Oryzias latipes: one gene and its partner. Each later gene encodes a partner of the first gene's protein in a complex. Links are inferred from orthologs where the notes say so. Each region holds a gene or a part of one and is shown on either strand. Other genes may lie near its edges.

Region 1 (3,814 bases):
ATGCGTCGATTATCTATGATGAGGTGATACGCCACCGCTAACTGATCCTGTGTGAACAGGAGGAGGAGGAACAATGAAGACAAGATAAGACATTTCTTCAGATGTGACATCCTACAGCGTGCAACTGCAAGCATAAAATACTAGAAATGATGTCGGAGCTTTAGCTAAAGACTACTGTGAATTCTGAAAAACAGTCCTGATGTTTGTCAGTACCTGTGGATCTCCACTGTAGAGGCTGGACACCACTTCAGAGTCTGTGCATTCAAACTTCTCACACACTTCTCGAACAGCTTCCTCATCCAACACAGTGCAATCGTACGACGAGTCCTCCGGGAACAGGTAACCTGGCAGGTCCTGCTTAAACCAATCATGTTCCCTAACAAAGCACAAGAGGAACAGTCAGCTCAACCGCAATACCCTGTGTTACCCTACAGGGGAAAGAGCGGACAGCCCCGAGCCTCAGTCTGATGTTTCTGTGAGTTTATTAAATTATTATTTCTTGCTTTACTTCCAAAACCCCAAAGAACTGATCTTCTGTAGTGGCTGGAACAAAAGCAAACACAATAAGACAAACGTGGGAGCTTGAACGTTGGTCTTCACGACCCTCTGTCGTCCACAGCTCTATGAAAACAGGAAGACATTATTTTTTTAAAAGCAGCATTGCTGTAAGCCCAGAAATCCTTGGACTCATTACTTATTATCAGCAAATGTCCCACCGTTGGGATGAAGAGTTTGCATGACTATAATGACTGCAGTCGTAAAGAAACCTTTTTTGATTCCAGAGCTTGAAAAACTATTTCCAAGACTAAAGGATCAAATATCTTCATTGAACATTTTCAAAGCTCCAAGACGCCTGATATCCTAACTTTGAAAACAAAGTGACTGGAGGTGCCTGATCAGCTACAGAGTATGGATTGACCACCAATCTGTCTGCTTACTGAGATCATCTAAAGGTAATAATTTAGGTCATCTAGGCTTGAACGGAAATTCATTTGAATAATAGCTAAACTGTTGGTAATGCAGCAGCAACATCAATGTAGGCCAACCACAGAGTGCTTCAATCCACAGCAATGTGTGTTTCTGCAGAGCTCTGGACTGGGGTTAGTACCTGATGTCTTTGATGGTGGCTCTTTTCAGCGGATCCACCTGTAGCATGAGCATTAGCAGTGAGGCCACAGAGCGGGTCAGGTACTCTGGCATGTAAAAAACGCCTCCTCTGATCTTCTTAAACAGTGTGGGAACATGCTCATCGTCAAAGGGCAGGGTGCCACACAGCAGGGCGTACAGGATCACCCCGCAGCTCCAGATGTCCACCTCCGGGCCTGCGTACAGCCTGGAAGAGGTAACAGAAGGGGCAGTAGAACAGCATGAGTGCTGCAAGTAAAGAGTTCCCCTGATTTCTCACTAACAATGACAACTTTTAGCGTGAAAAGAACAACACCAACCACTGTTCTCCTTTTCTGCACGGACTCACCTTCCGGAGATGACCTCTGGAGCTGCATAGTTTGGTGAGCCGCAGCTTGTTCGCAGGAATTCCCCGTCTGACATCATGTTGGACAGTCCTGTTGGTCAATGACACATCACAACTTGCTTTTGTGTGATAAAAACTGTGGTGGATACTTTTCAACGTGATTTCAAGCCCTGCTGAGATCTTTATCCTCTTCAACCTGCCAAGACTCTAAGCTCTAGACATAAAGCCCTTCTAATTGGATGAGGCTGTCTTTCTGTTCCGGTTGCTGCCAAACATTAAACAGCAGCCAATCTGAGCCTCTCTGACCTTCACGTTATCTTTTCTTCCTCATCTCTTCCTTCTCTTTCTATCTGCTGCCTTTTTGCTCTCAGCCAAACACTTCTCCTGCAGCACTCCCCCTATTCATTTCCTATCAGATGACACTGGGCCTCAGGCTTCCTGCCAGACTTGATATGAGACCTACACATTACCAAGGGACGCCGCTTCACCCATAACACCCGCCAACTGAGCTCTTGTGTGCCTATGAAATTATTTTTCTCTTTCTTGGTCGGATTGCAGCAGGAATTTTGTTTTAAGAAGGAAACATAAATAAAACCCAAACCGATGAGTGAAACTTTATATTGATTTATTTTTTTACCCTTATAAGTACACCATGTTGCTTTCCACCCGAGGCAAGTAGCACACAGCTGAGGTTCATCTCTGGAAAACCTACCAAAGTCTGCAATTTTGGCATTTTTATTGGCATCAAGCAAGACGTTCTCAGGTTTGAGGTCTCTGTGCACCACCATGTGCCGGTGGCAGTAGTCCACGGCTGAAATGATCTGCTGGAAAAGACGCCGAGCTTCTGGGTCCTCCACCTTAAAGACACAATGTCAAGGAAGATGGTTACTGTGTGGTTTGGAGAGAATGTGCAACCCTACTGTTACCGTGGTGATACAGTGTTCCCTCGCTATATATAATCTATATTCACCTTTCACCGTCTCGCTGATAGTTTTCATTACAATTTTGCATGCCAACCCTAGTGCGCTGTGTTCTGACAAGGTTTAGAGCCAATCAGGACACAGAACACTGTGTACTAGGGCTGGCATGCAAACGCTAGTACACAGTGTTCTGTGTCCTGATTGGCTGTAGACCTTGTCAATCAATCTCCTCATGGCCGTGTCTCCTGTACAGAATGTGTTCAACCTTCCAAATCGACATAAATCTTTGATTGCAATCAGATCTATAATACTAGACTTTATCTTCTATGAAGATTTGAACTTTGAGAGTTTGAATAAGAGAGAAAAGTGTGAAAATGTTCATGTCTGTCTGACTAAAGCACATGTGTCAAACTCAAGGCCCGGGGCCAAATGTGGCCCTCCATGTCATTTTCTGTGGCCCGCGAGAGCATAAAAGTTTTCAAATTCTTAAAATAAAAATAAAAATTTGTTTGTGTTTATTCACATCTATGAGGAATTGGACTTGAAATAACGGATTGGGCAACTATACATTAGGACTTAAACACTGTCCATATAACCTAACCTGACAGAATCAAATGTAAAAGAATTTATGAAAGAGTAACAAGCAAACATGTTTTTTTTTCATTACATTTAGTGACATGTATAAGTCATATCTGGCCGTTTGAGGACAGCCGCTATGCTGATGTGGCCCTCAGTGAAAATGAGTTTGACACCTCTGGACTAAATTGTGGAAAGTGTTGTGAGGAGTTTTACTGACTGCAGTTCTACTTCACGGATTTCCCCTCTTGCGGGTTGTTTTAAGAACGTAAGCCCCACAATAAACGAGGAAACGCTGTATTAGGAGTCACTTCGGGAAAGTGCAGAGAACTATCAACAGGAAATGACCGTCACCTTCTCCATCTGTTTGGGTAAAGGGTCACCTCGGTACATAAATTAGAAATAGAAGCTGTTGTGAAGACGTCTTCAAATTTTGTTCTCAGGTATTTCTTACTTTAAGCTTTCGTGCATTTCATCTGTTTGCTTACGTCTTGTTCCACCCTGCTGTTCTGGATCTTCACTCTTGTTTTCCCATCCGGTGTTACAACCTCAGTGTAGTCTTTGATTTCAGATACAAATCCTTTTCGTCATGTTTTTGTTTTCTTGAGTTTTTTTGAAGCTGTCCTGTTTGAGCCCAGATTTTATTCATGCCTTTGTTTTTTTGTTTTATATTCTCAAGTTAATTTCCAACATGTGTGAATGTCTGTCATTTGGCCTCAACCACCAAGCTTTCATTTGAAATTTTTAGGACTTTCTTAGGTATAAATGTTGTGGAAATTCCGGTGTTTTGTCTGGTACTGTTGAAGCCCGGGAATTGCTCTGAAAGGCTGCAATAGGATGGGCTATA
Region 2 (4,599 bases), on another chromosome or scaffold:
CAAAAAGAGTTGTTGCCCCACAGTAGATTACTGCTGTAAAATGTGAAACTCGGGTAAAGACGACCTCAGAGGAACTCACAAACAGCTTCAAGAACTTGAGAATCCTCTTGTGTGTGAGTATATACAGGGTGTTCCCTGTCAGGGGGTCGATGACTGGCAGTCTGTGAATCTTGTTCCTCAGTAGAGATGACACTGCATCATACAAGCTATGGAAAAAAATCCTGTGAGATTCTATGTAGACTTTTTGGTCAGCACTTTTTTAAATGACAGATGCTAACATAAAGAAGTATAAAGCTAAAGCTTTTGAAGTGTGAAAAACAAGCCCACCGTAAGCTGAAATTTGGAATAGCAGCCACCAATATAGCTTCATGTCATTATTGCTCCATTTTTGGGGGTTAATAAGGTACAGATCCACCACCAGTGTGTGAATGTGTGAGTGAATGTGTGTGTGACTGGATGAATGGGTCTGTGACTGTAAAGCGCTTTGTCCTTGTAGGAAGAAAGGCGCTATACAATTATACACTATTTACCATTTACCAGATTACCTTTTCAAAAACTCTGACATAGTTCAGTACAGAGCCCAGTCAAGAACCTATTGCTTTCAGGCATTTGCAGATTACAGTGGAATCCCTGAACAAACATGTCAAGCCATTTCCTAGTTTCTCTTTTGGGGTAAGATAATGTCAAACTATTCCATCAGTGTTCCGGAGATGACCTATTCAATTACCAGTGCTATTCCCAATGCCGGCCCTGAAAAGGCTTAGAAATGAGCAATTTTCTATGAGAACGCCTCAGCTGTAGATCCACCTTAAAGACCCACTCCAATGAAAATTGGGTTTTTGATGTTTTTAACATGTTCTTGTGGCATTTCTCATGATTGAAGACACATATAAAGACAAATTTAAGCTCAAAATTGCTATTCTGAGTATTGCTTTATTCAACTTGCTGTGAATTAGGAGCAGACACAAAAAAAGCGACGCATAGAAAAGATCGTATGTGTGACGTTGAAAATACCCTGGGCGGGCGGCCACAAGCACCCTGCTCCAAGCTCTCAGCGACCAGGAGGGGAAGGGGGGCGGGGTTGCTCCACACCAACAGTCCCACCCACAAATCATAGGCAAATTTCTAATGAACTACTGCCGCTCTACAGAAACTATGTCCTAGAGAAGATTTGTTGACTTTGGCTAAAAATGGCATAGTCACAATTAAAAGACCACTGGGAACGCTTTGAGAATAGATCAAAAGATGATAGTATAATATAGGCAAAAAAACAAAAGACATTGTTTGCCCACTCATCAAGACTTTAAAGTAAAAAAAAAAAAAAAACACAAAGGTTTAAAGTGCTACTGCTGCTCACCTGGCATTGGGAGAAATGCTAACCAGAGGTTTGAAGGAGTCTTGAAGGTACAGTTCTATTGGAAACATAAAAGATCTTACTGCAGTGAACGTAAGAATAACTATGCAGCAAAACTTGTTCCAACCATTCCTACCTCTCCATGTTTCAATCTTGTGTTCTTCTAGTTCATAAATCTGAACCTGAAAGTGTAAATAGAGTATTAAAGAAAGTAGCTACTGTAACTAACATAGAAGTCTTGCAGCTGAAGTTGGACATTTGAAGGCTTCGTCCACTGGCGGACTAAACCATCTTACCAATGGTGACTTGTAGTAGCGATGCAGAATGTTGATAAAGTCTGTGATGGTAAGCATTCCTGTAGGGGAAAAAAAACATGAGCTATAAAGATGTTTATTCACTGAACTGAAATCCAACAAACAAAACAAATCTTACCGACAAAGCACTGTTTCTTACTGTCCCACAGAGGTGCTGCTCTCACCCCATTGGACACGAGAGCAAAGAAAGCCTTCTTCACCTGCACAATTATTGACAGTTACCAACGTTCAAGTGTTCATCTGATGGATTAAAAGGTTTCTCTTACCTGAAGTGATGTGTCAAACACAACTAGCTTGGAGCTGGTAGGTACAAGATCATAACAGCGATGAGACTTCATAAACCTCGTGTACGCATTGTGTTCGGAGTCTGAAGAATTGATCAAAACAAAAATGAAAACACACCTCAGTCAGTCTACGTCAGAGTCATAAGATCTACAGAAAAGTCTGTTACCTTCAATGACGGGGTCTTTCTTGCCCTCAAGATCATCAATAGTTACTGGAATCTGGGGAAACAATTACATAAAATAATAAAAAGAGCAGTTTAAAATATACCAACTGTACCAAAATCATAGGTTAGGATGGCTGACCAAATAACTGGATTAACCAAAGAACCGGAGTGAACATGTTAATGATTATTTGAAACACACCTGCGTATTTTGCACCATGTCAAAGTTTCTTTTAATAAATATATACTTACATTTGTTAATTTACCCGTTTGTAAAATAAAAACAATTTCCGTTGACGAAACTGGTCCGACGTTGTTCATTTAACCACCAGGAGAAGCCACGCAAAACAACAAACTAGTTCCTGAGAAGATGTTCATGAATAGATATACTTTAAGACGAGGTTACAGGTTATAAACATGCAGAAAGTACTTTAAGAGCCTTTGTTACTGGTTTTCTCTACACTAACGTGTTAGCTTGTTAGCTAACGGTCTGTCTGTGTCAGTCATTTACCTTCCCTCTCGAGTTAATTATTGGTTCAAAGACTTTAAAGAATGTCTTTATTATGCTTACTACAATTTAACCCGTTTATCCATGTTTGAATACCCGTAAATAAACCGTTTCCGAGGCCGAATCCTCAGATAGGGAGATTTCTAAACACACAACCGACAGATCGAAAACAAACGTGAAAAATAAGTTCGTAGCTAGCAGCTAACGCTAGCACTGTTTCCAACGTCGGCTTTAATGATTGTATGATGAGTTAGGAGCATATTGTGAGTAGGCTTTTAAATGTGCCCAAATAAACAGAGCCAATCACTTACACAATCCATATTCCATTGCCCGTTCGCCTCCTTTTGACCGGGGTGACAGGACGCCGCGCCAATCTATTTCCGCTCTGACCAGAGGAGCTGGACATGCGCAGTAACGAAGTCGCTGTAATCGGTGTCTGAAGTGTACACAAACAAATCTAGCCCAACCTTTTTAACGCCGCGGACCGGTATGGCGTCATTCAAAACTTACACGGTCTTTAAGATGTGGCGGGCCACTTTTGTAGGCAAGTTATGGAGGAACGGAGACATTAACATTACGAACACCAAGCTTTTATTTTGACAGACATGTCGTACACCGCACAGGTCTCATCCTCTCCCCTTCCCACTCTCGTGGTGCAAAAGAGAAGTACTGTATCAAATGTAGCTTTTTTTTTGGAAGTGGAAGGCTCCTCTTCTGCCTCCTGGCTGGCCCCTTTCCCCTTGGCAAATAAACTTTCCAAAGGAGTTTGTTTTACTCCTTTTGTTAGCTCCTGGGTTTTATTCTAGCGGTAACCCATCACGTGACCGAGAAGAGCGCCTTGGCCTGCGTCCAAGTGACATAGACGGTGTAACAGAATCGAGCAGTTTTTCAAAATAAAACATCTTTCAGATTCCGAAATAAAGCAAACGGATGACAGTTATTTATTCTGTGCGGCCCGCCAAGACCCAAGGACCGGTTATAGAACACATTTACATTTCTGGAATAAATTATGTCCTCAATCTTAAAATAAAACATGCAGTGGTTGTTTTCTTTTTTTTGTTACTTGTGACCGAATGCCCTTACATTTACACCCCAAATGGAGACTGGATTTGGTAGTGGTTAGTATACAATGTGATTAAAAACTTGACACAAGTTCCATAAAATTGAAGGTTACAATATACTCGTACAGTTGGACCGCGCTCCAACACTGCATGAGGGCGGCTGCCTCCAGGGACTCCTCAGCCTCACTGCACCAGTGGATAGCCACCAACAACCCCAAGGGAGATCTCCAATCCAAACCCTCATCAGGAGTACCTGTTCAGGGCCGCAATACACACAAACAAACCACAACCCCAACAGTGATTAAAAGAAAACACAAAACAGAGGAGGAGCACCGGAGCAGGACACCACTCTGTGTGGTTTCAAAGCCCTGACTGGGTGGTTTATTTTTCTGGCACAATTACATGAACCCCAATGAGGCTTAATGGGGCTTCTATTCCCATCCCTACTAAAAAGGTCCACATGTCAAGATCACTCACCAAGGCCAAACCAGGAAACCAGCGTCTAGCTGGGACTCCCACAGCTGCCCGTAGAACATAAATTCATTTTGCATTGTCTTAAAAAAATTGGTTTTGGTTCAGCTATTGTTACATTATACCAAATTTTTAACAGCTCTATTAAATTAGCAGGTGGCACCTCTCCCAGATTTAATCTAGAGAGAGGAATTAGGCAAGGTTGTCCTGTTTCTCCATGTCTTTTCCTTTTAGTTTCTCAACTGTTAACAGATCACATTAAATCCAGTGCAGTAGAAGGCATCAATCTCTTTGACAAAGAACTAATTATTACTCAACTTGCAGATGACACTACACTTTTTCTAAAAAATGAAAAGCAAATTCCTGTTGCTTTTGACGTCATTGGGACATTTTCAAAGGCGTCCGATCTTTGTTTGAATGTCAATAAATGCGAATTAATGGCAATT

Evidence for each region.
Region 2: the proteins of prkaa2 (region 1) and prkag1 are in contact, whole or in part, in a crystal structure (PDB 6B1U), measured with the Homo sapiens proteins. The link is inferred for Oryzias latipes from reciprocal best matches to the Homo sapiens genes PRKAA2 and PRKAG1. Residues at the interface, in NP_006243.2 of Homo sapiens: Asp329, Asn330, Ile333, Met334, Ala337, Phe340, Tyr341, Leu342, His366, Pro367, Glu368, Arg369, Met370, Pro371, Pro372, Leu373, Ile374, Asn444, Val446, Thr447, Pro530, Arg531, Leu532, Gly533, Ser534, His535, Thr536, Met537, Asp538, Glu541; in NP_002724.1 of Homo sapiens: His36, Asp40, Leu41, Ile42, Pro43, Thr44, Ser45, Val50, Phe62, Leu64, Val65, Thr66, Gly68, Val69, Arg70, Trp75, Ser77, Lys78, Lys79, Gln80, Phe82, Pro158, Glu159, Ser160, Gly161, Asn162, Lys170, Arg171, Lys174, Phe175.

What each region holds. Positions count from the first base shown.
Region 1 is NC_019862.2:3,535,216-3,539,029, reverse strand, and holds part of prkaa2 (5'-AMP-activated protein kinase catalytic subunit alpha-2), read right to left. Parts: intron 2,329-3,814; coding exon 2,184-2,328; intron 1,563-2,183; coding exon 1,475-1,562; intron 1,334-1,474; coding exon 1,109-1,333; intron 377-1,108; coding exon 214-376; intron 48-213; coding exon 1-47. UniProt on the Homo sapiens protein: Catalytic subunit of AMP-activated protein kinase (AMPK), an energy sensor protein kinase that plays a key role in regulating cellular energy metabolism.
Region 2 is NC_019863.2:4,032,781-4,037,379, reverse strand, and holds the start of prkag1 (5'-AMP-activated protein kinase subunit gamma-1), read right to left. Parts: upstream 2,844-4,599; 5' UTR 2,435-2,843; coding exon 2,366-2,434; intron 2,172-2,365; coding exon 2,120-2,171; intron 2,036-2,119; coding exon 1,935-2,035; intron 1,869-1,934; coding exon 1,787-1,868; intron 1,710-1,786; coding exon 1,651-1,709; intron 1,537-1,650; coding exon 1,491-1,536; intron 1,413-1,490; coding exon 1,358-1,412; intron 207-1,357; coding exon 80-206; intron 1-79. UniProt on the Homo sapiens protein: AMP/ATP-binding subunit of AMP-activated protein kinase (AMPK), an energy sensor protein kinase that plays a key role in regulating cellular energy metabolism.